7 linked regions of the Mus musculus genome follow. The protein of the gene in region 2 interacts with the protein of the main gene of each other region in a pairwise test. Links are inferred from orthologs where the notes say so. Each region holds a gene or a part of one and is shown on either strand. Other genes may lie near its edges.

Region 1 (4,244 bases), on a different chromosome or scaffold from region 2:
TGGGACATTCTGTTTGCTCAGTAAACATGAACTCTGAAGGAAGTTAAAGACTTAAAGAACAAATGTCCAGTGATGACCACAAGCAGGTAGGGTAAGGGGTGGGAAGGCAGGTTACTGACGGGGTGTCTCTGAAGAGGTGGCAACTGGGCAATAGTCAAGGAATGCAGGGAGAGGTGCAGGTGTGTGCCGGGCCTTCAGCTGCAGCTCCTTGCTCTGTCACCAGAGTTGCAATTCTAAACTGCTTCCCAAACATCTTTCCTTTCCAAATGTTCCTGGTCAGCTTTGGTCACCCATGTCCCAGCTTAAACAATCAGTAACAAAGAATGAATACAGCCTGGGGGGGAGGGGGTGGAGTGGCAACAGCATTGTGTCCCCTATTGCCCACTAACTAGTTACCTTTATTTAACTGGGTTCTTCCTTTTATAAATAAGAAAAGGCTGCCAGAGGTGCTGGTGCACACCCAGGAGGAAGGCCGAGGCAGAGAGGCAGAGAAGCAGGTGAGTTTGAGGGTCAGCATGGTCTATAGAGTGAGTTCCAGGATAGTCAGTAATACACAGAGGCCCTGTATCAAACAACAACAACAACAACAACAACAACAACCACAACAACAACAACAACACAGAGAGAGAGAGAGAGAGAGAGAGAGAGAGATTGATTGATTGATTGAGTGTATCCTAGTAAGAAGGCTGAGGCAAGTTGAATGTGGGTTCCAGTTAGCCTGGACTGCATAATGTTCAAAAATGCTAATACAAAAGTTTAATAACACAAGTTAACTCATAATACTTTAAAAAAATCAAGAAACCAAAATATAAGGTTCTGGCATTGAAACACATTTAAAACTTGAGCTTAAATTACAGCCACTGTATCAATATTATAAGAGAATCCTTATTTTAAAATGCTTACTTTATTATGGAGGTGTGTGTCTGTCTGTGTGTCGATGAGGTAACTATGGGCTGGAGGTGCAGGCTTTTGTGAGCTGCTGGGTAGGGATGCTCGGATCTTGGATCTGAGCTCATCTCTTCTGTTAACTGCTGAGCCATCTCTCCAGCCCATAAAATTACCGATGCATTTATTTATACAAGATCCAATTCCTTTCAAGTACTCACATATGAAAAAACAAGCCCTGTAGAAGTGTTTGGGGAATGGAGATACCCTAGGGTCATATTTCCATGCATTCGATACTCAGTATTTAAAAGACGTTCAAAGCCATCTGCATGTGACATCTCATCTCTTAAGTCATCACAGATAAAAGCTGACACACGTAAACAAACTGCTCCACAATGCTCCCCAAACCAGTAACGTCTCTCCAGTCTTATGACACTGGCAGCTAGGTGGCTTATTTTATATCAACGGTGTCTTAAGTGACACACCAGTAAGGTAAGGATTCATACAGTAATTGACTGATGCAACACTCGGAAAATGAAACAGAGAGGAGTGTGGTTTCTACTTCCAAAGCCTCTGGGCCAGGGATGGAACAGCCCAATTACCTAGCAAAAATTCTCTAAAGATGGACTACAAAGACAGAGGTGAAGGGGTCAAGTTCCCCGGCCTGGGAGTTAGCAGAAAATATAATGTATCACAGAGTAGCAGGCAACTGGCTCAAGAAATATGTAATGGTCTTTACAGCAATACTCCTTACTTAAGGGCAATCTAAAGGCCAACAGGAAGAAATATCTTGATAAGCAACCTGTAACTTTAAAAGGCACTGAAATCTTTAAAAAGTAAAATTACCCCCCCCCCCAGTCACTGTCACCAGGATTAACATTATCCAGATTTGGAGAACCATAAAAACTGTTTTCTTTTTTTAAAGAGTCCCTCATTAATGACACCGCAGGTGGGTAGAGAAACGCAGGCAACATCCTAAAAAGAACAGCACTTTACAGTAACTTCCATCCACGTTAGAACTTGAAAGGGTCTATTATAGCTCAAAAAGAGATCCGAAAGTGTCCTAGTTGCTCAGATGACAAGGTTCTATACGAGAAATAACATCTTTTTTTTTTTTAGGCACCGAAAATAAACAAGACACCAGAAAAAACGTGAACCAGGGAAAAAGCTCAGCCAAAGTCGCCCTTACCAGCGAGGTGGAAGCACCACTATCCAACTGTTTTTACTTCCAACTAGGTTATCTCTTCTACAAAGCAGGTCAGGAAATCAAAGTGATCCGCTGATAAGTAAATACAAAACTTTGCTTCTAACCCCAGGGGCAAGACTACTACTGAGCCAAGTTCCCTGTCTTCAAAGAATGCAACATCCCGTTCTCTCTGAAGAAAACACACCAATAGACAAGTAACCTTTCATCAAGGTGTTCGTTACCTTTCTTCTTAAAAAAAAAAAAAAATCACAACTACAAAGTGTCAACGTGCACTTGTGGGGGAAAGGAAGCCAGGAGCACTCTGGGTTAGCATCCGGGCTCTACTGCACCTTAAAAACACCAAAGATGCATTCGATTTAAGAGGCAGGGAAAGCCTGTGCACCGCGATCCCGGGAGCGGATGCAGAGCCCGGGTTTGGGAGACGGGCGCGTTCGTGCCTCGGGTGGGAAACCACACTGGTTTGCCGTGCCGGGCATTCCTCCCGATCGCAGCCCTCAATGTCTCTGGGTGCAAACTCGCGCAGACCGCGTCGGTGGCCGGGTTGCCCCGTTCTGGTCCAGGGGCGGAGCGCCACCGCCGGAGGAGCCCGGCTGGGTCGTCCCCACGCCGCCCCGCCCCATCCCTACGGCCCCGGCCCCGCGGCCCAGGCCCACCTTTGATGCCCGCCATGGCGGTGACGTCGCTCCTGGCTCCACGACCCGGGCGGTGGCCGGGAGACCCGAGACGCGCGGCGGCGGCGGCGGCCAGACAACACCCGGAAGTGCACCCCGCTGCACTTCCGCCGGCGGCTCGCGCGGGGGCGTGGGGGCGCGCGAGGCCGGGCCGGGCCGGGCCGGCGTCCTTCCTTCCGCGGCTGAGGGGGGCCAGCTGGGGACGTGCGGGGCAGCTCCGGCCCGGAGTCCCCGCGGTCTCGAGAAGAGAGCGTGCGGAGCTCGTGAAGATGCGGGCGATGTCTTTGCGGGATCGCCTCACTTTCTGCCCCGCGAGCCCATTTCTCCTCCCACCACCCAGTCTGTGACACGTGAGATGGGTGGTCTCTGCTTCTCTCCTTGGGTTCCTAACACAGATCCCATGAGGTCCCCTCCACCCCCGCAGGGAGTCAACGAGTCATAATGTGAACATAAAGATGCTTCCTCTTGGGAGTCGGAGAGCTTTTCAGTCTTGGTGACAAAAAGGATGGGGAAGTGGGGGGGGGGGCGCCCCGCAGAGATCCTATATATTTATGTAAGCTTCCCACATAGCATATGCTGGGGAACCGGGTAGGCGTTGGGATGAACAAAACCAGGTGTAGTTTCTGCCCTCGGGTTGTTTGCAGACTAGAAAGAGAAAATACTCAAAAGAGAACAAAAGTGCGACGAAGATAATGGATAGCAAGAGGGATCCATCTGCACTCCAAAATATACCACTGGGGCGGCGGAAAGATGACTGTAGCTGAAATCAATTTTAAAAAAGAGAGAGACATAGAAGGGGAATTGGCTGCGCTCCTTTTCTGTACAAAATCAGACCGATTTAAGTTTCTCCTTGTAAAGGTAGCCGGAACTTCCTTTCCTGTGTTACATGAGAAGATATTTGCAACACAAAATTTCCCATGTGTAAATATTTTCATTTCTGAGGAAGAGACAGATGTCTCTGTAAGCAGCCGCAATTGGAGTTTGTAGAAATGTTACAGAAATAGCCTTTATCTCCCTTAGTTTTCCCCTGAAAGCCCAAATTTCTTCCATTTAGTTGCTTTCCCACAGCGTATTGCCTTTTGTTAAAATGCCTTATGGGCTCCCAGACCTAGCCGGTTGTGTTTTCCTTTATTCGGAACCTTGCTAAGCCTGTAAAATACAGCCTGTAAAATACACTCTCCCCTTTAATAGGCCTTACAGCTGCTAATATGTAGGTCTCCTCTGTTGAATCTAAGAAGGCAGAGACAACCTCTATCCTAGAAATATCTAGGAAATAGAAGACATGGGAAATAGTCCTTTGGTTTGATCTGACAGGACTCTTTTAATGGAAAGACAAAGTTGGGTTGTTTGTGTGTGTGTGTGTGTGTGTTGGGGGGCAGATGGAACATGCTCTTTGCTAATAAATGGAACGGGAATTTGGAAAGCTGGAGAGAGGAGAAGCCAATGGGTTGGTCACGGTTGTAGGCCCTATCCGAGAAGTT
Region 2 (3,983 bases):
TTAGTTGAATCTGGGATAAAATGTCTTCAGTGGGCTAAAATTCTCCTGAAAGTGAAATTCAAGATGAATAAGGAATATGTGATTAAACTTAGTCTGGTCAAAATTAGTTAGAGCAGAACAAAGTGACACAGATCTGAGCCTCTCATTTTGTAAAAAGCCTACTATGGAGTTTCAACCTGTTGTCCCTTCATCGCCCCCCTCAAAAACAAAGTTTCTCAGTAGACACTATATTATGGAGGACTGTGTACTAAACTGGAGGATGGCAGAGCACCTTCATCCTAGTTTTGACTCAAGCTAGGATATCTTGGGCCACTTACTTCTCCCTTGAGGCCTGTATGTTCTCCAAAGGAATCAATAAAATAGATTCAGGAGGTACCTTACAAATCTGGAAAACATAAATTCCAATTAATGCTAATGAATGTAAAGAACTGGTATCATTGCTTTGACTGCCCCATAGACTAAAATAGACTAAAGGATAGCAGATAAGAAGCTGTGCTGAAACACATAAGTATTTTTGCTACATCTGATGTAAGCAACTAAAGGCCATTGCAAAGCTGTGAGAGTCCCATGCCATCACAGAAGCTCTAGTATACTGCTGTCCCACAATCTCTAACCAGCGCTCTGTCCATCCTGATTGCCAAAAATCCTTGACCACCATTTGAGTAATTTCCTGATTTCTTTTGAGTGAGTGTGTGTGTGTGTGTGTGTGTGTGTGTGTGTGTGTACATACAGAGAGAGAGAGAGAGAGAGAGAGAGAGAGAGAGAGAGAATATCAAGGTGCAGCTGCTAAGTACCTCTACTAGGATCCTGGAGGGGGGTAGTAAATAAAAGACCCAGAGTCCTAATTCATTGTCATTTAGCCCCGGTGTTTAAAATTTCAAGTATGAGAAGCCCGTCTACTGATTCTCTTCTTTGATACGCAGTTATATAAATTTGAGTGTCTTTGAAAGACATTTTAGGTCTGAAGCAATTTTACAAAGCACATTGTTAAGAAAGAAAGGAAGGAAGAGAGACACAGAGAGAGAAAGGAAAAGAAGAGAAAGTGTGTGTTCTGACACTAGAGTATTATTATGAATGTGACACCTCTAAAGTGTACAACTTGGAAAGTCAAAGCAACACAAATAATGTTTAAAGAGTTGTGACAATAACTATGGGTATAGCACCAAGTACAGAAGGCTTCCATGTCTCACCTCAAGTAGCTTACTTACACAAAGTGTCGTTTTCTCCAGAAGTTACAAATTCACCATTAATCTTTAACCACCTCAAAAAGATTCTTGGATGTTCTGCCTAAGATTCAAGTGTGAGACAGCTATGGAAACCACAGGAAGACTTAATATCAAGTACACTAAATTTGCTGGAATAACGAGTAAGAAAAACAACTACGATAATGGTTTGCTAAAAGAGATACAAACCCTCTAAAGATTATCAAAACAAAACAAAAATCCAACTTCCTGTTCCAAAGGCAGCAATAATGAAAACTCTTCACACCCACTGCACCCAACTCCATCTACAAGAGTGTCAGAACCGGCATGCAAAGGGTGAGTTTTATTTCCATAGATTTTTTAAATTGCTGTTCAGAAGTTGTCTAGCAAGACGGCATATTTCTACCAGAATTCCTCAGGGGCGCTGATCCTAACTAGAACGCAGAAGAGAATCCGTCTCAAGTTGCAGGTAAGTGTGAAAAAAGCTCAGGTCCTGGTCAGCGCACAAGAATCCAGCGCTGAAAGTATGGTTAAAAGTTGTTTCAACGGGCGTGGAACAGTTAGTACAGCTGTTTACAGCTCCAACTCCAAAGAGGAGCCTGCTAGTGCTGGCATCAGCTCGGGACACGAAGAAACAAGCACCACGGGCAGAGAAACTCACCAGGGGGCACGAGGGGCCAAGCTGCTCGCCGTTAGACGGCCACGGGGGCGGCGCAGGCACCTCCGCGCCCGGATGGGTGCAAGGCAGGCCAACTTTTCGCTAAGCAGCCCACACCTCCCCGGGGGCGGCGCGTGCAGGCTGGGCTTTCCAACTCCACGGGACCGGAGAGGGTCTGGATGAGCCAAGGCAGGAACCGAGAACAACCTGACCTGGACAACCTCTCCCCAGCACTCCGGCCCACTCCCAGCTCCTGCCCTGGAACTTGGCTCTGAGTGGCAGAGTCCCCTGAGCCCTGAGGCCCAGGCCCCCGCCCAACCGAGCAGGGGAGGGGGCCTCCAAGGCCGCCGCCCCTCCTAGGTGACTCACCTGGTGCCGGTCCTGGGAGTCAGGGGGGAGTGGATCTTCTCCCGGTTCCAAAGGCTGCTGTTGAAAGGACGGCTGCCCCAGGTGGCGGGTGATGGGACCCACCGGGTCGAGGCTCCCAGGGCTGCTTAGGGTGCCAGAGGTGCCAGGAGCACCCGGGCCACCGAGGCGGGACTCGGTTCCCCGTTCCCGCCGCAATTCGGACCGCAACTCTAGGTAGCAGCACAGCGTCAGCAGGTGGAGGGCCAGCGAGAGGCCAAAGAAACCCAGGAAGAGCCGGCAGCTGTTCCCTTCGCCCGCCCGAGCAGGGGCCCCGCGACAGCCGCAGCCCTGGCTGCCCCGCTCCCTTGGCGCTGCCGCAGGCAGGGGTTCCCTGCGCTCTACCTCTGGGTAGCCCATGGCCTCCAGAGACAACCACTATCTGAGGCCCGGGAGCCTCTGCCTCTGCCTCAGTCCTTCACGACCCCTGACAGGCGACTACTGTCCTGCCATCGGCTGGGGGCTGCAGGGACCCGTTCCTGAGCGACGGTGGCTGGGCGGGACAGAACAGGGAGCAGCCGCATGTGCAGCTCCACTCCGAGGGGTGGGAAAGGGAGGAGGAGGGGCGGGCGAGAGGGGCGGCGCGGCCAGAGAGGGAATGAGGGAGGAGGTCCTCACCTACCCCGCCCCATGCCTCAAGGGGCGGCCGGGACGCCCAACCACGGGCCCGCCAGGCCTGGCTGCCCCGCCCCCTGCCGTTCCACTCGGGCCTCCAGCCGTGGGGCGGGGCCTGGGGGCGTGGGGGTTCACCTCTGCCTGGCAGCCCCACCCAGCTCTTCCCGCTTGCCCCGTTGCAGTTGGTGAGGGCGGCTGTCGTTCATCTCTAGACTCCACCCCGGTTTAACCCTTCAGCGCCGCTATGGGGGAGGGCAGGAGGGGGAGGCTGAGAAGAATTTGGGAACCTTGGAAAGAACGTGGAGAAAAGAAAAGGAGGCAGAAACTAGCATTAATAGAAATGTTTGCAATTAACTGCAGTTGCTAATAACATCATCCAGTACTTATCTGTTGCTTTCAATCTTCAAAGCGTTTAACAGACGTTAAACTAATTAAAACAGTTCAGGGTTTGGAATGAAACCATGCCTGCTGTGTTTGCAATTCAATGGCTCGCCAGAAGAAAAGGAGACCTAGGAGCCTGGGAGCCAAACAGACTGGGAACAGGGCAACCTCACTCCTAAAATGAGTCTTGGGGCACAGTCTGAGGGCATAGAGAGGGTGCCTAGTGCCAAGTAAAACTGAAGTGATGCTGTCCGTTGAAGGCTAAAACCGTTTCCTAGGATTTCTTGATATAGTAATTCATTCAACAGATATGCATTGATCCCTTTCACAGTGCAGAAAGTACCGTGTGAGAGAACCCTCAGGCAAAAGTTTATCTTTTTCCAGAGCTGCACAAGTTTTGGAAGAACTTGAGCCTTCGAGGAGCAGGTGGGGAAACTGAGGGTCATGATGAGGTGAATTTTTACAGGGGTGGTCCACAGCATGGCCAGACACTATTGGCATCTGTATTCGCAGGCAACTGTTCTGGCCTCTCCACCCTTCCCATGCTTCCCCTGGAGTACTCCCTGGGGTAAGTTCAACAAGTCAGCCAAATGTTCCAGATGTACACTGCTGCAACGGCAGCATCTTCAACAGCTGCACCAATCAGAAACAGGGTCAGAGGGGGGAAAATGGCAAATGTCAGAACAATAGACCTGGAAATGAAGGATGGAAAAGATTAGTTG
Region 3 (4,083 bases), on a different chromosome or scaffold from region 2:
GCCAGGCGGTGGTGGCGCACGCCTTTAATCCCAGCACTTGGGAGGCAGAGGCAGGTGGATTTCTGAGTTCGAGGCCAGCCTGGTCTACAAAGTGAGTTCCAGGACAGCCAGGACTACACAGAGAAACCCTGTCTCGAAAAACCAAAAACAAAACAAAAAAAAAAAAGTGGGACATAATGGCCCACCTCTGCTCTCTCAGCTACCCAGGGTGCTGGGGCATGAGGATAGAAAGTTCAAGGTCAGCTGGGACCATTTATCCAACCTATTTCCAATAAAATAAATAAAAAGAGTTGAGAGCACATGCCTAGAATCCACCAGTGTGGAGCTGGGCACATGCCTCAGAGATGAGAGTCCGTCTGGCACGCCCCGTGTTATAGCCCCGGTATTGGGAGAATAGAAAACAAACAAACAAAACGACTTCTTGAACAGGTGCCCAAGAAACCACAGTTGGCGGATATGATGCAGAACATTCCTTCTGTGGATCCTTTAGCTGCCCCCATCCCTGGAACCCAGCTCATTTACCACCACTGACTTCTCAAGCACTGGCTCACCGCAGAGCCTCTAAGGCACACAGCTCCACTCTCCCTCTCCTGTGGGGGCCATGGAGGCTGCTCTCAGGAGAGGGCTGGGAGCCTCCAGTGGCCCGCTCCCATTCCTCGCCACCGTTCCCCAAGCTGGGGGAAGTGCTTACTGGTGCAAAGCTGGCAGAGGCCGGTAGCGTAGAAGAGCCCTCCGCGCCGCATGGTGTAGAGTTGGAACATGAAGAGGATGAAGGACAGGCAGCAGAGGATGAGAGACAGCACCATGAGGGCCTGCACTGCCTTCAGCCAGCCTACAGGGGGCGACACAGGTGAGGTCACAGCTGGAACCGCTGTTCCCACTGGCTGGACTCTACTCACTGTAGGTTCAGCCAGGCAAGCTTCAGAGATGTCCGTGTTACAAGGATTACAAGGGTTACCAGGGAAACATCTTACTGATGAGCCCCATCCCCACACTCACTGGCGGTCACTTCGAATCCTGAAAGGAGGCAGGCCACTCCATCTCTTAGAACTCTGGCCTCTCCCTATTCTCCCTCCCACATCACAACACTCGCTCCATTTCTTTACAACTCTGAAAAGTCTTCTCAGAATTTAGGGAGCTTTCTCCCCTGTTCCTTAAGCTACAGCATGTGGCTCCAACCTCTCTGGATTTATTGGTGCCTTTCCATCCAGACAAGCTGCCTATGGCCACCCCAGGTGCTCATAGCCTAGTCTAGGCTCCCAACCCTGGCCCTGGCAGGCCTTCCCCTGCCCTCAGCCATATGCTCACCATTCTCACTGACGTTACTGCAGGCCCATGTTTGAGTGGTGGTGTTCCACGTGCAGTCATACCACAGGTTCAGGGACTCTTTGTCTGGGAGAGTCCACCAGGACTGGAAGGGACAGAGACCGGGGAGGGTGAGGTGAGACACAGGACAAAAGATGTCAGGGAGAGTGGGGATGACTCCTGATGGCCAAATGCATGGGCTAGGCCAGGGGAAAGTACACACGCAGAAGTAAGAGTAGGGAAGGGGAGGAGTGGGGAGGAGGAGGCACAGAGGTAGGGAGGAAGGGAAGCAGAGGCAGGTAGGTGGGGTCTTAGAGATGGGCTATATCTGGGGTTCCCAGTGAGCTGGAAACTTACCTTGTCCAAAGTGGCCACAAAAAGCAAGACAAGAATGAGGATGTGGAGGGCAGAGACCACCAACAGGAGGAGTGACATGGCTGCCAGATGTCTGGCTCAGGGCAGGAGAGGCAAGCCTGCAAAGGGTGGGAGCACTCAATCCTAGGGGAGGAGGGCTGGAGAATGGCTTTCTAAATCAGAGAGGAGGGCCAGGGAGGTAGGGAAGTCTCTGGTGTGAGGGAGAAGGGGAGTAGGCCGAGCAGTTCCTCCCTGGGGAGAAGGGCAAGCCAGGGGACTCCTGCTCTTGGAGGCGGGCAGAGACTGTCCTAGATGGACTTTTGGGAGACAGAGGAACGGGCAGGACTAACAGTGAGCTGGTGCATCTTCAACACTCTGTCCCTGGGCCGTGTGGGTCTCCATATGAACCATCAGGAGCAGGAATTGCCCCCGGGACAGGCATCCTTGACTCACTGACTCTCTTCTTTCTCCTGGAGTGAGTCACGAGTGACTCATCCCCCCTCCCTCCAACACCAGGGAAATGCCAGCCTCTGGCTGAGTCTCTGGTCCTCACCCGACCTGACTGCAGACCCCGGCTCTAGACACTCAGGGAGGTGGATTTGCAGCAGGGAGGGTGTGGTCTGAGTGGAGAGACCACCTCCTACCACCCTTCAGTGTCCAGAGAACTCAGCCAGCCCTGGGAGCCCTCCTGCACCCCTTCATCTAAGAAGGGAGTGGAAGACCCCAGGGAGAAGCCACAGGACATTCTTCATGGTGGGCTCTGTTGGGACAAGTCTCATAGACAGCTCTAAGCTCTCCTGTATTCCCACTACAAAGGCTGAGAGATCAGTTCTTCAATTACCAGTCTCCTCTGGAGCTAAGAGTGGAGGGTCTCTTCCTGCCTAAGGTGCCCCGCCCATGGTGCCATGCCGCCCAGTAAATAAAGCCCCATCTGAATAACGGATTGAAAAACTTACCGAGAGTTGCTGAAGAAGTCAGAGTTGGAGTCTGTCCTCGTTGGGCCTCTTGCCCCGCCCTTCTGCTCCCTCCTTCCACTCTGAGGCCCCCGCCTCCCTCACCGCCTTCCTCCCACCCTTTAATACCCACCCTTCTCCGTCTGCCTTCTCCCTCCCTCCCTTTCTCTCTCTCCTCTGGTGGTTTTCTGCTTCTCTCGACTCTCAATATATACCAACCCTTTTATATCCACTTTAGCCTCGCCCAGCTGAGGTCTCCAGTCAGGGGAGGGCACGAAATCTTGGTTCCTTATTCTCTGCCCACCCAGTCACACAGAAGGCATGTTCTGGGACCTCCTTTCAGGGCTCAGATGAGAAGTCCTTGAGGCCCTGGGGTGGAGCATGTTACCTTCTTGGACTGGATGCCTGCTCTCTTTGATGAAGTTTGGGGCAGAGTAGATGACACAAGAATCTGTAGAAGGCCAGATCCTGTGACACAGATCAAACTTTGGGCTGGCTCATGGCAGGACAAAAAGTATGAAATTACGGGAAGGAGCAGGATATAGCTTTAAAGAATGCCAATGTTGCCATTCCATGGTTGTGTGGCCTGGGATAGATTATTTCACTTACTTGGGCCTCAGTTTGCTAATCTATATAGTGGGTATAATACACAGTCAATAAAGAAAATAGACGGATGGCAATAATGACTAGGTGGGCAGATGCTAATTTAAAAAGGATAATCCTGGAAAGCTTCTTGGAGGAGGTGCTATTTGACCTGAGTCATTTGGATACTAGGGAGAAAATGTCCCAAGCTTTGAGAAGAAACGCTGGCCGTTTGGAGAGCAGACAGAATGGCCAGTGTGTCTGGAGCACAGAGAGCGTAGGGTGTGGTGAGCGGGACAGCAGAGGATTCACTTGGAAGTCATGGAGGAATCAGGATTTTACTGTAAGTGCTGTGGGAGGCCATTAGAATTCTCACAGCACTCTAGTCCCAGGGTTATAGTGTGAACTATCATTTATTCTCAGAGTTAGGGGCTGTGGGTGATGAACTAGGACTGATGAAGTTAGGGCTGGGGATCTGGATGATGGTGCTAGAGCTGGGTGTGATGACCTAAGCCTGCAGGGGTGAGTGACCAGCTGGCTTGGGGATTGCGAGACTGGGAGCTGGGTACCACACAGCACAGCCTCTGCAGCATCCATTGGCAGTGTGACCATAGGCGTTACTGATGACGTCTCCACTATTTTCCTTCATCTGTAAAAGAGGGATAGCATCGCGGCTAGCTTAGATCTAGAGCAGTGCCTGGTAATACTGTACAACTTAGAGCGGGCTTTGGAGCCCCGAGTGGAGTCGAGGGAACTCTGGCTCTAGTAATTGGAGAAAGGGCAAAGACTTGAGGCCAGTGCGTCCGGAAGCTAAAGTTTGGAATCTTAAATGAGGATGGATGGAGGAGGGGGACAGAAACAAGGGGAAGTCTAACTCTGACCCTGGAGA
Region 4 (4,035 bases), on a different chromosome or scaffold from region 2:
CTTTTACCCACTGAGCCATCTCACTGACACCCAGGCTGAATACTTTAGACACTTTACACATTTCCTCTCAATAGACTTCCAGTATCCAGTCAGGCTGACATTATTCTCATCTTACAGATAGAACAATTGAGGCTTAGACTCTTTTTTGAGACAGGGTTTCTCTGTGTAGCCCTGGCTATCCTGGAACTCACTCTGTAGACCAGGCTGTCCTCAAACTCAGAAATCTTCCTGCCTCTGCCTCCCAAGTGCTGGGATTAAAGGCGTGCACCACCACTGCCAGATGAGGCTTAGACTTTCTTAAGGCCACACAGTTAATCTGTATGGCCAAGGATTCTAACCAGATTTGTCTGACATGAACACCTAAGCATTATGCTTTCTGTTGATGCCTGCAGGGTGTACTCTAGCCATGCTCTACCCAGATTTTAAAATGGGGGCTCTGCAGCATATTCAAGTTCCTTGAATTGGTGTATGCCTTTAAGCCTTTTTTTTTTTTTTTTTTTGTATTTTAAATATCAGCAAAAATAAAACCAGGAGAGCTTTGCTTCTTTATTTTAAGTCTGAAACAACTTTCTGGCTTCATCTTCCTGGATGAAGCAAAATCTGCTTTCCATCTCTTGATTCTTGGTGTCCAGGTGGCTAGCTGCTGTGGGGACCATTCATTCTATTTCCCTGTTTCCCCATCACAGCTGCTACTGGTACTAGGCCATCAGCAATATCAGTAGGTAGAGAGGCAACAGGAGATTGTCTATCTGAGTAGTGTACGCTTCCAGAAGGGATACAGTGCTGATGGACCCCAAAATCCAGGCATAACTGTAGTTCAGGTCTACTCCACTGTCAAAGATTAAGATTAGAGCTACAGAGATGATTTGTGCAAATATAGATGTCATAGTCCCCTCGAAGGTTTTCTTAGTTCCAGGCCAGCGGATCTCTCCCATGGTGCTGCCAAATATGGAGGCCACAGTATCACCCACACCCACAGCCAAGACCCCAGCATAGGGGACCAGGGCTCTTGCTCCTTCCAGGCTGTCCTTCTGTGTACAGGGTCTGGGGATCAGCCAAATAGGAAGAGACATGCCCAGAAGCAGGTAGATGTGTGTTAGGATAAGGGGTCCACTGTCTCGTTCATCCAGGAAGAGGGACAGAAGGCTTCGCAGAGTGTGACCCAAGGGCTTTATTCGGAAATAGCGCACATACTCCAGGAAGATGAAGACTGCCAGGCACACAGTGGCGGCCACATACAGCAGTGGCCGGTCAAAGATGATGCCCGGGATATAAGTGGCTACCACAATGAAGTGGAAATACTTTCTTGTAATGGTAGGCGCCCTGTGCTTCTTGGACTCAGAAGACGACCGCTTAGCATTCTGGTACAGCACCACCAGGCAGGCCACAGAGGCCAGCAAAGACCAATAGGCAAGGAGGTAGATGCGAGTTTCAGTGTAGAAGAGGAACTGAAGAAGCCAAAGCAGGGGGTTCCTACGAATGAGCCAGTGCAGCCAGGGCAGAACCACACCAAGGCCCAGCACACAGGTCATGAGGTGGAAGAAGATGGAAGAGGCCCAGGTGCCTGAATCCATGAAGACAAAGAGGGTGCTGAAAAAGACACCCATGAGCACCATCCCTACCACCACCACCAACAGGAAGAAGTCCACTGGGTCCCCCTGGCTTTCAGTCAGAGAGCGCTTGATGAGTTGGTTAAGGACGAAGCTAATGCCACCCAATACCAGCAGTGCCTCCCCAGGAGTGAAGCATCGGGGCAGCAGGTACAGCAGGATCATGTTGAGATAAACAAATATTAGCAGGACTTCCAGGACCTCGATCACCTCGCCTACACTGAGCGAGTGCCTCATAATATAAATGATAACGCCTCCAGCCAAACCAGAGATGGCACAAGTATTGGTGGGCACCGGGCGAGTAATGCCCAGTGCCAACACGGAGGAGAAGAGGGCCACTGCCATGCCAGTAGCTGCAACCACAATGCCGAAGCGCTCGAAGTATGGGTTCCCTGCAGTCTGGCAGCGCTCCTTCATGACTAGCCCAAGCAAAGGCATGACCATGGAGGCCGGCAGTAAGCCGCTGTTCGCGGACATCCGGAACTGGAAAACGGCATTGCCCTGCTGGAGCAGCCGGTCCCACTTGTACTGGACGTAGAAGGCCTGCACCGCGAGGGCCACCGCGCACCAGGAGTATCGGTCCCACACTGCAGCGTGGATGCTCAACACCACGGCGAACACCACTGCAGCCTCCGCCAGCACCGACCCGCTCAGCGCAGCCCCAGACTCCTGGGGAGGGCACTGTCGGGTCATGTCTCTAGGTCTGGCGCTCTTGGGAGAAGAAGTTTGGTGACTAGGGACGCCTTGGCCTCTGGGGCCCTCAACCCGCCAAGCAGAGGGGCAGCAATTTCACCCAGCCAGCAACCTTCTCCAGCTTCCAAAAGGGTGTTCCACCACGGGCCACTCTGAGGCCTGGGAGCCGGCGCCCAGTCACCCGCCTCCGCTGTCAACCTACGGTGTAGCAGATGTTTGCCCTCTTCACCGCTCACAGTCTCCACCGCCTCCACCGCGGACTCCCCTCGCACCAGGGCAGCGCCATCTTGACAGCCCCATCTTGACCACGCCCACCATCACGTGGCGGAAGCCCACGCCCCCAGGCTGGAGGATCCCAGTCACGTGGGTACGGCGCATGGGGGCGGGGCTGGGCCGCGCGCGCGAAGATGGCGGCTGCCGCTGGTGGGCCGTGTGTGAGGTGCGGAGTGGGGCGCGGCAGGGGGTGGCCGTGAAGCGCGGGCTGGGAGCTGGGCGGGAGTTGGGACCGGGGCTCAGCCGCAGTGGCAGAGACGAGCCCCGGCTGGGTGGACGGACACTTGCCGGGGAGGCGGTTAGGTCCAAACCGTTCCCGCTCGCGGGGCTGAGGACACTTTTGGAGCGGGCCTGCCGCTCTCCCTTCTCTCTCCGTGGTCCCTGAGCCTCCGGTAGTCCCCATACACCCACGCTTGCTCCACCACGTTGCCTGTAGGCACTGCGGGACATTTCGGGGTCGCCTGGAAGACCCACCCCACTGCGATCCCTTCCTTGCTGTCCCTGCGCCCTGCTCCCCCTCGGGTGTGCCTTGCCCACGCCGCGATTTCTTCCCGCGGGCATCCTTAGTTCCCGCCTTCTTTTATTTTTGGCTAATGCCGATATTGATGCAATCAGCAGGCATGCCTTCATCTTCCATGCGATTCCGGGTTTTGTGCCAGGCTTCGGACACAAGATGAATTACCCCGAAACAAATATACAGTTCTCACTTAAAAGAGTGCTTTTGTTTGTTTGTTTGTTTGTTTGTTTCTTTTTTGAGGTAAGGTCTCTTGCCTCTCGGGCAGGCCTTGAACTCCTTGTTGTCTTGCCTTTGCCTTCTTGGTGCGGAAATTACAGACATGAATTTCGAGCCCTGCTTGCCTTTAAAGAGCGCTTACTAGCGCCAGACCCTGGGAAAGTGCCGTGCAGGCCTTACCTCATTCATTTCTCACGACTAGGAGAGGCGCCTCCTGTTCCACAGGACTCAGAAGTCCAGTTCATACATAGGCAGTCCCCCCTTGTCAGCCCTCGAGATAATCCCCGTGAGCCTTCAGATGGAAGGCTCTAAAGCCTTAACCAGACCTCTGTATGTATCCACATTATAGATCAGAAAGGGTCTTCACTGCCCTTCCTCCCCTTAAATGTAAACATTCCCTGTCAGTCACCTGGAATTGACTCTGCCAGTTTTATTTGGTCTTGTTTCCTGTGGAAACCTGAAACGCCCAGACAGACATGTAATTATCACACACATTGCTGATCTTTCTCTCCATTAGCCTCTTCACCTTCCAGGGGTAACATTTTCTTTGGAGTTTCCTGTGGATAAAGTGTGGTCCTTGCAAGGGCCGGTTTGTTTCATGCCAGACCTTGTATCCACAGCTATGGATAAATACTTGTATGAAAACTGTAAAAAAATGAATTTTTTCAAAAGGAAAGGAAAGTTTTGGCTTGCCAGCAGGCTTTGAGCTTTCTGTGGAACTTAGCA
Region 5 (3,500 bases), on a different chromosome or scaffold from region 2:
AGGACCATGATCCCTCAGGGCTGCTTCAACCAAGACAGGGCACCCCAAGCCAGGGTACCCCAGCAGCCCCCCTGGAGAACAAGGCAAACAGCAGCCCTCTTCCAAAAACTCCGGAGGTGTGGCCTCCCACTCTCAGAGTCTGCCCAGGCTGGCCCGCAGAAGGAAGCTAGGGCTTAGCCCCTGCTGAAGGGAGGTACTCTGCCAGGGCAGCCCTCACTGTGAGCAAGCAGCCTGCCCTCCTCCACCAGGGCAGGTATTTACCTGAGTTTTGATCACTAATCCCCTTCCCCACGAAAAGCCTATTTAATGATCAGGGATTTTAAAAGAACAGAAAGGCCTAAAGACTGTAGCCAACCCACACGCCAAGGCTCCTTTGGGAGCCAGAGTCAACCTTTCTGGGGAGCCTTCCTCTGAACACCAGCATATTTTACACATAATATCACTTGCTCTACTGCCAAGGACACATGCTTCCCAAGCTGCTGGAACTCCTGGGTTGAATACACAAAGCAGCGGTCTGACTTCTCCATGCCAGTCCCTCAGGCCCAGGCCCAGCAGCCATCTGCTGCATGGAGGGCGGAGCTATTGTCTAGCTCCAATAGGGATCAGGGCCAGGCTTGACCCCAGATCCCCTAACCAAGCTTTCTGCACGTGAACGGACAACAGCGGGTACAGGCAGACAGAGCCTACTCAGGGCTCACAGGATGTATCAAAAGCTGCAGAGAGGAAGGGGAGGAAGGGAGACTGAGAACAACTCCAAAGCCTGGAACCCCACTAAACTAACAACACAGCCCCACACTCACACTCCTGGACCTAAGAGACTCAGTGTCTGCAGGGAAGAGCAAAAAGATATCTGGAAACCCACAGAGCCAAGAGGACAAGGAGGGCGATCACTGGGGACTGGGGCTGTCTCCCTCCGTGAGTGTCTTGAAGTCCATGGAGAGGGCTTGCTCTTCAGCCTGGGAAGGCCGCTTCCAGTCAGCCTGAGCCAAGATGTAGAGCACAACCACCCCAAAACAGACCAGCAGCAAGCCTAGCACGTTGGCCAGCACCCCCTCAGGTTCAAACGTGCTGTACTTGGACCTGTAGGGTAGGGTGAAGGGAAAAGCCACCAAGGGTTCCAGTTAAGACAATCATAGTCCAGGCCTTAAAGATGCCTCGGGTTTCCCGATGCCCAACCTTCCACCCTCCCAGTGAGAAGCCAGCTCAGAGAGAGGCTTCCAGGAAGGCAGAAGGCCCTGGCGCCCTGCCTCTCCAGGACACTTACCCCAATTTAAACAGCAGGGCCTCCTTCAGGCCCAGTAGGGCTGTGCCCACAGAGAAGAGGAAGATGGTGGCACCAAAGAAAATGTGCTGAGGGCGGTAGCGGCTCCGCAGAGAGAATGAAGCTCCAGGGAACAGGAAGAAGCTGAAACCCACGAGCCACTAAAGGGAGAGAGGGCTCTGCTGAGCCATGAGCTGGCTGGGACCTAATAGGAGGCATAGTCGGTGGGTGGAATAAAGGAGTCTGGGGTACCCTGGCCTCTAGAATCTAGATTCTACCCAGGTCAACCTCGGAAAACCACCCAACTAAATCCATCTGCTCTTTTCCTTTCTGGACATGCCCCCTGGAGAATGGGCCCCTACATGCCACACCTGGACCCCATTTGCCCTCCCTTTACCTCTCCCAGCCCTTGCTGCCACAGCACTAGACTCACCTGCACAAAGTACAGAACAAAGACTAAGATCCCACACCAGCTGTGCAAGCTGTACAGGTCTGCATAGCCCTTCTTCTTGTGGTAGTCGAACACAGCCACCAACCCTGGAGCAGAGGCAAGGGCCATGTGAGGACAGGGCTAGTCATGGAGAAGGGAAGGGAGGGGAGGCCTGGGAGGAAACACTAGCCAGAACGTCTGGGCTTTGGTCCAGCCAGATGATGGCCAGCACCCAGTGTCCCTGCCTGTGATGCCTGTGAGAAGAAGAGTAGGGGCAAAGCCAAGCAGCTTGGAGCAGGAACAGTGTGTGTCCAGCAGCAGCTGCTGGAGCCTGAAGCAGCAGGTAGAGAAGGAAACGCTGTGTTCAGGAACTCACCCACCAGGGCGATGATGAAGGCGAAGACGTGCAGCAGCCCATGCAAGATCTTGGTCGTGCGTTTGGCTTCTCTTCTGAAGACACGGTACACCAGCAGAGCTTATGGAAAGTGAGAGAAAGATGTAAGAGTGTAGGCCTGTGCTGGACAGCAGACTATGCTAAGAGCTTGTCGGTCGAGGTTTGCCAGGCACAGAAACTGAAGGAGAGATCAGGATTCCATAAGGACCTTGCACTCATCCTGGTCAGGGTTCCCCTGAGTCCTTCTTCTACCCCATGCACACCCAGGGGCCATGAGAAGAGGCTACGCCACACCTCTGCTACCATCGGGGCAGCAAAGGCAGGGCTCTGCAGAGCACCCTGAGTAACTGCTTGGCCTGAGATATAAGTCAGTGATTCAGTATTTAGGACTCATCATGCTGTCACACTGAGGTGATGGCCAGACTCTGTGTACCCATTAACAAAGTACAGTTCTGGAACCTTCCTGGACAGGCACGTACTGCTCTTGACAGCCAGATGCTACGCTCTCAAGGCTTCATGTGATCCTGCCTAATTTCCACTACCCCTGGATGCCTCCTAGGACCTGCTGCTGAGAGGTGGCTGTCGGTAGGCCCCACTCCCTACCATCTAGCCCCCACAGGTGGTGTGCTTATTAGACCAAGCACCTGCTGGCTCTTACCCCAGGGACAGACAGACCCTCTAGCTCAGCCAGGTCCACAGGAAACAATATACACATGCATGTATGTCTACTTCTTTTCCCAACTTCCAGCTGCCCCTGAAGATAACTAATAGCCCAGTCTGGCCCTGCTCTATCTAGAAGGCAACTGTAGCCCTGGAGATGCCATCTGCTGAAACCAGAGGCAGGTACCAGTGCAACCGATGGAAAGCAGGTATCACCCTCCAACCACAGTCCCCCTGGACTCCCTAGATTCTTCATCTGTCTTGTCTAGAATCATCAATTTGTCTAAGTGGAAGGAGTGTCTGGTGGGACAGGATCCCTGTACATGGCCTCTCCCAAAGACAGCTACAAACTGAGGGACAGAGAGTGGCTGAGGGAGCTGGCCCCACGGGACTCACCATCTCCTTGAAGGAAGATCATGCCTATGACCATGCAGAGCGGGTGCACATTAAACTGCAGGGAGCTTTCCCAGGCAATGCCACCTCGGTACAGACCCAGCCACGCACCAGTCACAGCCACTACAGTGAGGCCCAGCAGCTGGGAGAAGGCCACATAGTACGGCAGTGCAGCAGGGACAGACGCAGAACTGTGCTCCATTCTGAGACCCCAGCTGCAAGAGAGAGAGAGAGAGAGAGAGAGAGAGAGAGAGAGAGAGAGCTAGCTAAAAGGAACCACCCATGACCTGTCCCCGGGACTGCCACCTCTTCCACCCCAGGGCCTAAGCCGTGCACGCCTCTGTTCACTCTCCCACCATTAA
Region 6 (4,272 bases), on a different chromosome or scaffold from region 2:
ATTATAATTGTATTTTAGGCATTGAGTTATAATATTCTAGTTTAAGAAGACACCCCTGAGCTGGTCAGTGCTTCTTCCGGGCTTCTAACTTTCCGGCTTTCTATCAAAGCACATACTGTTTCATATGCATGGTCTATGCTGAGGAACACTTACCAGACCGAGTCTGCCTTCTCCCTGCTCCCCAGGCAGAAAGCCAGCCCTAATCTCTCCAGGAAGAAACAGTCAAAGATGGCAAGTGAGCCATGGAAGGTCTCTGGAGAAAGTGACAGATGTGGGAGGTGGGCAGACAGAAGGTGGCTGAGGTAGAAGGGACACATTTTTTAAAACACAAAGGGACAGATTCTGGTCAAGAGGGGACCCTAGAGACCCCTGCTACCACACACGGGACTGGAGAGCACACCGGTGTGGGGCATTTTCACTAAACAAATAATGCTGAGATTTTTCCATACCAAGAGACTCTCTTCACGGGGATGGTGGGGTCCTCCTGCCCTCTCTATGGATTTGATTGTCCTGCCTGTTCCTATCCTCAGAACTAGCCTTTCTGTCATACTGAATAACTAAAAAAGTGGGAGAATAACTAAAAAAGCGGCTGTGGACCTGCCATCACCAGAGCTCCCCTGCCCTTGTGTGTGTGTGTGTGTGTGTGTGTGTCTACAATCAAAGTTTTCGCAAAGAAGCATGAAGCCCAACTGCCACTTTATCTCATGACTTGGTACGGTGTTCTCCAAGGAGCCAACAGCAGTTTCTCGAGACTAAGATTTTTTTCTCCCTTAAAAACCTCTGTGCCCCACCACACCTCAGGTGCAATCTTGCTCTCTTTTGATCAGACCTCTGTAAGTTCCTCTTTGTAAAATTTTGAGGAGCCGCCCATGACTTAGTCCCAGGTCCTGGATACCATCTGCTCATTTCTAGAAACCCAATAATGGGCAGACATAGGTTAAGAGATGACAAAGACAAGAATGCTCCTCCCCACCCCCTGGCACCCAGTAGGTGCTTTCTCATATGGGCCAGATGCCTGTGTCAACTACATTAAGTTGGCACTGTTCCAAGGTTTGCTTGGCAGTCCTGAGCCTAGAAGGAACTCTATGAGATTGGAAGGCTTGCTAAAGACCTGGATGACCTTGGCAAGTCCAACCCTGTTCTGGGCATTGGCTGTTCCTATTTGTAAGCTAGCGGTGTGCAGGGTTTCTTATGTTAATTCCATAGCCTGGGCCGTGATTGTGCCTGGGGTGTGAAATCACTTTAGAAATACCCACGTTTGGGTTCAACTCAATATTCATCTCAATTTCAGTGACATCCCCTTGATGATGGATCCTACTGTTCTTGGTGTCCACAGCCTCCTTTGCTAGCCATCCAGTTAGCTGGGATCCAGTTGTTAAAATCACCTACACTTTTTTTCTCCAAGTTATTACTCCACACAAAGACCTCTGCGTGGTGGGAGCACAGGAAATGTTGTCTCCACACCCACAGAATTGAACAAACACCCTCCTGTCCAGGTAAGTGCTAAAGGACCCTGGGGACTAGAAACTGAAGTAGCTCTGAAGCCTGGCTGGAGCTCACAATAGGAAAGTTTCTCGAAGCTAGTGGGTCGGTTCTACAGTGTAAGGCTAATAGAACCCAGCCCAGGCGCAGAGTCAGCCCAAGGTCAGCCAAGGCAGGCGACAAAATTCACCTGTCTTCCCTGACTCCTCCCTCCCCTCACACAGGGCTTGGGGACCGCGGCCCAGCAAAGCACAGCCACTGTTTTTCAAAATTGGCACAGAGGCATTTCCTTCCCAGAAACTTCAAAGGGCCTGAAAAAGGCTGGCTACTCTTGATCTCCAAATCTCTGTCGCCAGCATGGAAGGGTTCTTTAGCTGGGTTTGTTTACTCAGGAGGACTCTCAGTGGTACCTTGTAAGGAAGCTGCGCTCGGATAGGAGCTAAACTCTAGGAAGAGGTTTTTCTGCACCTGCCTGGGAAATCGGTCCGCTAATTTAGAAAGGAGCAGACCACGGAGAGATGGGGAAAACTTTCCCGATTTTAGTTCCCTCCTGTGACTGGGGACAGAGCTGCAGAGCTCCCCCCCCCCCCAACCCCTCCACCCCACCCCCAGCAACTCAACCCACCCGGTCCCTTTCCCAGAGCAGGGCGCGTTATCACTCACAAACTCACAAACGAAGAGCAAGTCAGGGAAGGTGGTGAAGACCGAGAAGCCACTGGGCAGGGTGCTGCCACCCGAAGCCGCTGCCGGAGCCATGCCTGCGAGCTGGCGTCGGCCTTGGGACTGGACACGCTCGCCTCCGGCTCCGCACTGACCACTCGCTCCCTCCGGAGAGCCCAGTGGCCGCGGCGCCCTCCCGCGCGGGTTAAAAGCTGAAAAGCCAGGGTCAGAGGAGGGCGGAGCTCCGGCCACCCGCCCCGCCCGGGTCTACTGCCCTAGAGGACAAGGCTGAATCGCCTCTGGCGCCGCCCTGAAACCCGACGGAGTGCTCTCTGAAGATCTGCAGGACTGGGTTGGGAATCTGTACGCTCCTGACCTAACCCTAGTTGCCACCTGCCTGAGGGCAGTGGATGGAGCGGCTCGCGCGCTGCACTTCCCTGTGTTGCGCGCCACGCAGGTGATCACTATTCATCAATAACCTATCGGAGACTTCCCCACTTTGACATCCATTCCCTTTAACTCTAGTCGTGTCTCCAGTCTTCCGCTGGGTGTGTTAATGTGCAGCCTTCACATCCAAGCTCCCGGAGGGCACATTTCGATCTCACCGGCAGGCTGGGGGTTCTAGGGGCAACAGCAAGGCTCGTCAGGGAAACTATATGCCAGCAGGAGGGAAGGAAGTGACTCTAAGGAGAACGAATCTGAGAGGCTGTCTGGCGGCGGCGGTGGTGATGGGACAAGTTGCATTCCTGGGGCAGATATTGCCAGGGGAGATTCCCTCAGTTCTGGAGATGGGGCAGTTCTCCCCCATCCCGTGTCCTTTGACTCTATGGACTGCTGAGTCGTTTCTGGGGATTTACTCTTCTTGTACCACAACTTTACGTTTTATTTTTGCCTTTATTTTTAAACAAGTATCACACTCCAGTAACTGCCATTTAAATCACACCAATCCTTTTTTTTTTTCTTTTTAAATTACATACGGTAAGGCTAAACTCTGTTCTAGCTGAAAGGGAAATGGCCTTTCTCAACCTCCAGCTCAGATTCTGAACTTGACCTCCACCTACCCCAGTTGCCACTACTGTTCAGGGTCTTGTGTGTATAGGGTCCCTCCCACTTTCCCTCTGCACAGCCTTATTCCATTCCCTACAAGAAGTACATTTCTGGGCATATTTTTCAAAAGCAAGACTCCATGCCCATGAATTTGCTGATGAGAGCAACCGCTTATGAGAAAGGACCAGAGGTTTGAAGTGGGAAGATGCTCTGTTCTATTGTGAGCCTCTCCACGCTGTCAGCTTTGGATACCTGTGAGTGCCTCCGCCAAATATCCAGCTCCCCAGGTCAAGGCCTCTAGATAAGATGAGCTGTGAGATCCTCAGGGCCCCTTCCCCTATTCCCTCACCCTGGGCAGCTTACAACTTGGTAGCCCTGCTGGATCCTGAGAGTGTCTCTTCCTTCTAAGGAGATATTTAGTGGAGGCAAACCCAAGCAAACTGGCCACAGAAAGCCACCACCAGCCGGATATAAGATGACCAACTAGCAAATCCAGTTGAAGTTGGTTAGCAATTTCTAAGGGCGTGCATACTAACTATAAAAGCCCACAAAGGTGCTGTTGACTCTACAATGTCTTTGCCTGGCTTTGAGTGTCCCTGGTTTTGCTTATTTCAAACCTTTGTGGCTAAGGCCTTAACATTTGGGCTAATGACTTAAGGGGAAAGTACTGGTGCACTCAGGAAGGCTTGGCAGTTCCAATTCCCACAGGATAAAGTGGGGGAGGCTCTAAGTCCAGAGGGAGGATTAGCTGGTCATCTTGGCCAACGTCAAGGAAATCTGCCTCCCCATCCCTGTCTTGGTGACCCTCCCATCTCACCTGGAACCCTTTGCTCGATGCTCACCTTCCTGACCATAGTTTACCCAAATCTATCTGTCATCTTCTTCCTCAGTGAGACTGCCCCAAGTGTTAGCCAAGGATTGAGAGTAAGGACCAGGGGGACTCAGCTTTGTCTGCGCCTAGCAACAAAGGAAGCATGAGAATGACTCCATCTGGATATAGAGCGCCCTGGCTGTGTAGACGGGTCTGGTTTCACTTTCAGCTGAGCATCCCCAGGCTACACTGGGCCACTTGCTAATGATCCA
Region 7 (4,116 bases), on a different chromosome or scaffold from region 2:
CAGAGAAACCCTGTCTTGAAAAACCAAAATAAAATAAAATAAAATAAAATAAAATAAAATAAAATAAAATAAAAAGAATGTCTAATTACAGAACCTCAGGGTCTCTGGTGTGTCACTTAAAAACACTTTTTGAAACAAATGGATTTTCTAGATGTTTTCTAGCTCTTCCACATATGAAACCGTCCAGAGACCAACTTGACAAGAAATATAAATTAAAATAAATATAAATTAAACTTTAATTTCAACACTGGATGCCAGGATCCAGCATTTAGCCCAGTAACTTTCAGCCTCCAGACACCTGCAGGGCTCAGGCATTCTGTCCCTCCATGGTCATGTGAGCCAGTTCCTAAAGCAAATCTCTGAATCTGTTGTTTCCATTGCCCTGGAGAGCTGAAGTCCATCAAAGCCAAGGCTCAGCTGAAGCAGAAAGATGCAGAGAACCAAACTCGACCCTCAGCTTTGCTTTGTTCTCTTTGTAAGAAAGAAGAGGAAAGGGTTGAAGCTCAGTCCTGAGGCCCTGTGGAAGCCCTGAGCGGCTTACACGTCTGTGAGGGGACTGACTAGGTTGAACAACACTGCCGATGAAAGAGCGAAGGTCACACTACCACTGCTTCCTGTACAGCTCCCTGGGCTGTGCTCCTCAGCGTATGCTGATGGGTGGGGTCTGGCGCCCCTAGGTGCTTACCAACAGTCTCTCAGGCAGGAGTACTCATACAATGCCTTTGGCCAAGCAACTGGTGGCAGGTCATTCCTCCAAATTGAGAGCCTTAAACTGCTGCCATCTCAGAATCAAGCCTGAGGAGAAAGAGGAGCGAAAGCAAGAGTGGAAACATTGCTTCTCAAGCCTTTTTCTTTAGACATTTTTTTTTCCTCTCCAGTGCTTTCTCTAGTCTGAACCCACACAGTTCCAGCAAAATGACTGTCACCTTGCTGTTTCTCATCTGTACCCCTTTCCCACGCGGTCCCCTTCATTTTATGCTGGGCCACCATTTTTTCAAGACAGCAGTGTGCCCTGTCCCCACCCACTAGGATCCAAGTGTCAGCCCACCCCTACCACTCCACCACTTCACCCACACACCTGTCAGTCCTTTCGTTTATTTTTTAAGAAGTCAGTGTGTGTGTGTGTTTGTGTGTGTGTGTCAGTTATTTCTGGCCCTTGGTTGAACCTTGGAGCTAGCAAAAGTGGAAGAGCTCCCCATATCTAAGAGGCCCTCCCCTGGCAGTGCTTCCCTCATGCAGGACTGGAAGAGACTGGAAGAGGGCATGGGCAGGCCACACTTAGAAGCACTGTGAGAAGGTCACAGACTTGTGTGTTGGCCTTGTGCAGATTATCTTGGTCTCATTTGAGAAAACTGATAATATCATTCTTTCTTTCCCATATCCTTCACCACAGCATCTTGAGAACAAACTGTCCTAATGGGGAAAATGTGTCATGCTGTTATGAGGGAAAACCAGTGTGCAATGGTCATGGGGTCCTTTCCGGGAATAAAAGCTTTACTGCCTGCAGCTTCATTCTGTTTGCTTTGACTGGTCTTTAAAGAATGTATTACTTTATCCAAAACAAACAGCAAATGCTTTCTGTGAACAGATGAACCTGAGTGAACGCACACCTTTAATCCCAGCACTCGGGAGGCAGAGACAGGCAGATTTCTGAGTTGAAGGCCAGCCTGGTCTACAGAGTGAGTTCCAGGACAGCCCGGGCTACACAGAGAAACCCTGTCTCGAAAAACAAAACAAAACAAAACAAATTCCCTCCTGCCCAGCACTGTGAATGTTCACCAAGAAAAAGAAAAGTGATGGGAAAGAAAGAAAATTAAACCTGCAGGGGACGGGGAGATAAGATAGCCAGTCCAGCCACTCAGTGAGTACTGGATTCAGTGAGATGATACGCCAATAGATAATTTAGCCAGTCAGAGAGTGCAGACCACAGTCAGTGATGGAAAAAGACATCTGGTGTCCCTTTGCTCTCCAACATCGAGGAACCCAAGGCTCTGGGGAAGAGCCTGGGGTTGTTCTTATCCATTGATAGAGTCCTGACCCCGACTGGATAAAGCGAATGCTAGTCAGACAGCTAGGGTTCCTTCTGGACGATGGGTAGTGTATGAACTTCAGATCACCCATGGGGCCCACGTTCCATCTTCCTGCCACAACTCTAATTTCCCAGCTCACAAAACCCGGTCTGATGCCCCGTCCCAAAGACTGGTTCCCCTCCAGCTGCTCTCTGGTTCCCAGACACTCAATACAAGCCTGGCTGACAGCTCTAGGGAAATTGCTTTAGAAGCTTGTCTGCTCCCTTTCGCCCTTGGAAAGCAAGGAGAATGTCTAAGAGTCCACCTCTCCTGAGTCCTCAGTGGTGTGTTAGCCTTGTTCTGTGAGGGAGAAAACTCACTGATGTTCCACAGACAAGACTAAAAGTCCCTGGGGAACAGGAATTTCTCTACAGTCTATGAAAAAAGATCAGTTGTCTTTCCCTTCAGGTTGACACTAATTGTTACTGGTAGATTTAAGGGTGAGCAGGATAGAAGAACACCACACACACACACACACACACACACACACACACACACACACACCACAAGATCCCTGTTACCTGGTGAGTTCCTGAGGATCTTTCCATTCAAGATCTATAGCCACTGTGGAGCTACCTTCCAGGCCTAGGCAGCCTCTCACATTGGTTTGTAGTCTTTCGTAAAAGTACAAGAGCTACAAGAGGTGAAGGCCAGCTCACAAGATCTGTCTTCCAGGGGGAGGAAGACGGTGTCTCCTGAGGGGTGGGAAAGGGTGATGTACATGAGTTTCTCTGAAAAGGGGTGCTCTGAGGGCCACTGAAGAAGGCAGCCAGTGGAAAAGGTTGATTTAAAAAAAAAAAAAAAGTTCTGCTTCCTGCTCCACCCTCATCGGCCACACCACTGAGATGTTTGTGTACAAAGTATTCTCTATGGGCCTAAGAGAATCTAGAAGTCTAAAAGCATGGGCAACCCAAGACTCTAGCTTCTGCTCCTCCTCACCAGGCAGACAGCATGCATCTCTTCTGCTCTGCTGTTTACCTCTGCCATCCGGAGGTAGCTTCTTAGATGGAATTTGAGGTGGCAGTTGAGCCTAAAGTGGCTCTCTCCAGGGCCCACTGGACAGATCAATAGCTATCATGCTTGAGCCTGGCTAAGGTACCCTGGCTTCTAGGGAGAGTATGGGAGAACAAGGCTTAGGTTTTCTCACCTGGGCAGACCTTGTCTCCACAGAAGCCATGAAGCTAGCTACCCAGTCTATAGTATGGTTTAGGCAAAGCAACAGCACTTAGTGGAATCCCAAGTCCCTGTGCCTCTGCCTGCTGCCCTGCAGGACTCAGGATCCGGAGTGAGCCAGGTCTCCTCCCTGGAGGAGTTCCACTTAGCCGTGTGTTTGAGTTCAGATCACTTTTTTATTCACTTGCTGTTCTTTTCCGCGTATGAGTGTTTTGCCTACATGTATGCAAGTGCCCTCTGCACATGCCTGGTGCTTGCAGAAGCCAGGAGAGGCTGCTGGATCCCCTGGATCTGGAACTATTAACACTTGTAAGGCTCCTTAACTACTGAGCCATCCCTCCAATCCCAAGTTTGGGTGATTTTTTTTTTTTTTTAAACAAAAGAATGTTCAAGGAGGAGAGTGGGATATGGGATCTATTTGGGTGAAATGAATATAGATGTTGTTCCTATAACCTGCATGTTCATATCCTTAGCTTTTTGTTTTGTTTTGTTTGTTGGTTTTTTTCGAGACAGGGTTTCTCTGTGTAGCCCTGGCTGTCCCGGTCTGTAGACCAGGCTGGCCTTGAACTCAGAACTATCTGCCTGCCTCTGCCTCCCAAGTGCTGGGATTAAAGGTGTGAGCCACCACTGCCTGGCTGTTGTTTTGTTTTGTTGTTTTAATTGACATGTATGCTCTTGTGGGTTCCTGAATCCACCTCAGCTCCTGCAGTGTGATTTCTTCCTCACAGAACTCAGGGATTGTTTGGAACCTTTTCTCACTGCAGCTTTCTGGTCCACGCCTCCAAAGGGAAGGTGCATCCTGCTGTGAAGGGACGGTCAGCAGGAAAGGAAGCCAGACTGCAGCCAATGAGAACAAGAGCCTGAGGCTCAAAAC

Evidence for each region.
Region 1: the proteins of Eda (region 2) and Leprotl1 interact in binary tests that used the Homo sapiens proteins (3 or more experiments, as listed by UniProt). The two-hybrid records come from large-scale screens. The link is inferred for Mus musculus from reciprocal best matches to the Homo sapiens genes EDA and LEPROTL1.
Region 3: the proteins of Eda (region 2) and Emp3 interact in binary tests that used the Homo sapiens proteins (3 or more experiments, as listed by UniProt). The two-hybrid records come from large-scale screens. The link is inferred for Mus musculus from reciprocal best matches to the Homo sapiens genes EDA and EMP3.
Region 4: the proteins of Eda (region 2) and Dolk interact in binary tests that used the Homo sapiens proteins (3 or more experiments, as listed by UniProt). The two-hybrid records come from large-scale screens. The link is inferred for Mus musculus from reciprocal best matches to the Homo sapiens genes EDA and DOLK.
Region 5: the proteins of Eda (region 2) and Cyb561 interact in binary tests that used the Homo sapiens proteins (3 or more experiments, as listed by UniProt). The two-hybrid records come from large-scale screens. The link is inferred for Mus musculus from reciprocal best matches to the Homo sapiens genes EDA and CYB561.
Region 6: the proteins of Eda (region 2) and Mal interact in binary tests that used the Homo sapiens proteins (3 or more experiments, as listed by UniProt). The two-hybrid records come from large-scale screens. The link is inferred for Mus musculus from reciprocal best matches to the Homo sapiens genes EDA and MAL.
Region 7: the proteins of Eda (region 2) and Gimap3 interact in binary tests that used the Homo sapiens proteins (3 or more experiments, as listed by UniProt). The two-hybrid records come from large-scale screens. The link is inferred for Mus musculus from reciprocal best matches to the Homo sapiens genes EDA and GIMAP5.

Annotation. Positions count from the first base shown.
Region 1 is NC_000074.6:34,143,940-34,148,183, forward strand, and holds the start of Leprotl1 (leptin receptor overlapping transcript-like 1), read right to left. Parts: upstream 2,801-4,244; 5' UTR 2,762-2,800; coding exon 2,746-2,761; intron 1-2,745. UniProt on the Homo sapiens protein: Negatively regulates growth hormone (GH) receptor cell surface expression in liver. May play a role in liver resistance to GH during periods of reduced nutrient availability.
Region 2 is NC_000086.7:99,974,423-99,978,405, reverse strand, and holds the start of Eda (ectodysplasin-A), read right to left. Parts: upstream 2,801-3,983; 5' UTR 2,626-2,800; coding exon 2,230-2,625; intron 1-2,229. UniProt on the Homo sapiens protein: Cytokine which is involved in epithelial-mesenchymal signaling during morphogenesis of ectodermal organs. Functions as a ligand activating the DEATH-domain containing receptors EDAR and EDA2R. May also play a role in cell adhesion.
Region 3 is NC_000073.6:45,918,627-45,922,709, forward strand, and holds the start of Emp3 (epithelial membrane protein 3), read right to left. Parts: upstream 2,801-4,083; 5' UTR 2,616-2,800; intron 2,224-2,615; exon of another isoform or gene 2,010-2,223; intron 1,779-2,009; 5' UTR 1,741-1,778; coding exon 1,663-1,740; intron 1,412-1,662; coding exon 1,309-1,411; intron 833-1,308; coding exon 692-832; intron 1-691. UniProt on the Homo sapiens protein: Probably involved in cell proliferation and cell-cell interactions.
Region 4 is NC_000068.7:30,283,729-30,287,763, forward strand, and holds Dolk (dolichol kinase), read right to left. Parts: upstream 2,627-4,035; 5' UTR 2,304-2,626; coding exon 699-2,303; 3' UTR 501-698; downstream 1-500. Other genes in the region: nucleoporin NUP188 homolog, read left to right, coding at 2,711-2,742. UniProt on the Homo sapiens protein: Catalyzes CTP-mediated phosphorylation of dolichol, the terminal step in de novo dolichyl monophosphate (Dol-P) biosynthesis. Dol-P is a lipid carrier essential for the synthesis of N-linked and O-linked oligosaccharides and for GPI anchors.
Region 5 is NC_000077.6:105,934,488-105,937,987, forward strand, and holds part of Cyb561 (cytochrome b561), read right to left. Parts: intron 3,354-3,500; coding exon of another isoform or gene 3,341-3,353; coding exon 3,142-3,340; intron 2,167-3,141; coding exon 2,068-2,166; intron 1,799-2,067; coding exon 1,695-1,798; intron 1,467-1,694; coding exon of another isoform or gene 1,423-1,466; coding exon 1,265-1,422; intron 1,081-1,264; coding exon 888-1,080; 3' UTR 1-887. UniProt on the Homo sapiens protein: Transmembrane reductase that uses ascorbate as an electron donor in the cytoplasm and transfers electrons across membranes to reduce monodehydro-L-ascorbate radical in the lumen of secretory vesicles.
Region 6 is NC_000068.7:127,653,896-127,658,167, forward strand, and holds the start of Mal (myelin and lymphocyte protein), read right to left. Parts: upstream 2,801-4,272; 5' UTR 2,239-2,800; coding exon 2,146-2,238; intron 1-2,145. UniProt on the Homo sapiens protein: May be involved in vesicular trafficking from the Golgi apparatus to the cell membrane. Plays a role in the maintenance of the myelin sheath, and in axon-glia and glia-glia interactions.
Region 7 is NC_000072.6:48,768,052-48,772,167, forward strand, and holds the start of Gimap3 (GTPase IMAP family member 3), read right to left. Parts: upstream 2,801-4,116; 5' UTR 2,591-2,800; intron 796-2,590; 5' UTR 686-795; intron 1-685. UniProt on the Homo sapiens protein: Plays a role in T lymphocyte development and the optimal generation of CD4/CD8 double-positive thymocytes. Inhibitor of GSK3A, possibly by sequestering GSK3A in cytoplasmic vesicles and impairing its translocation to the nucleus.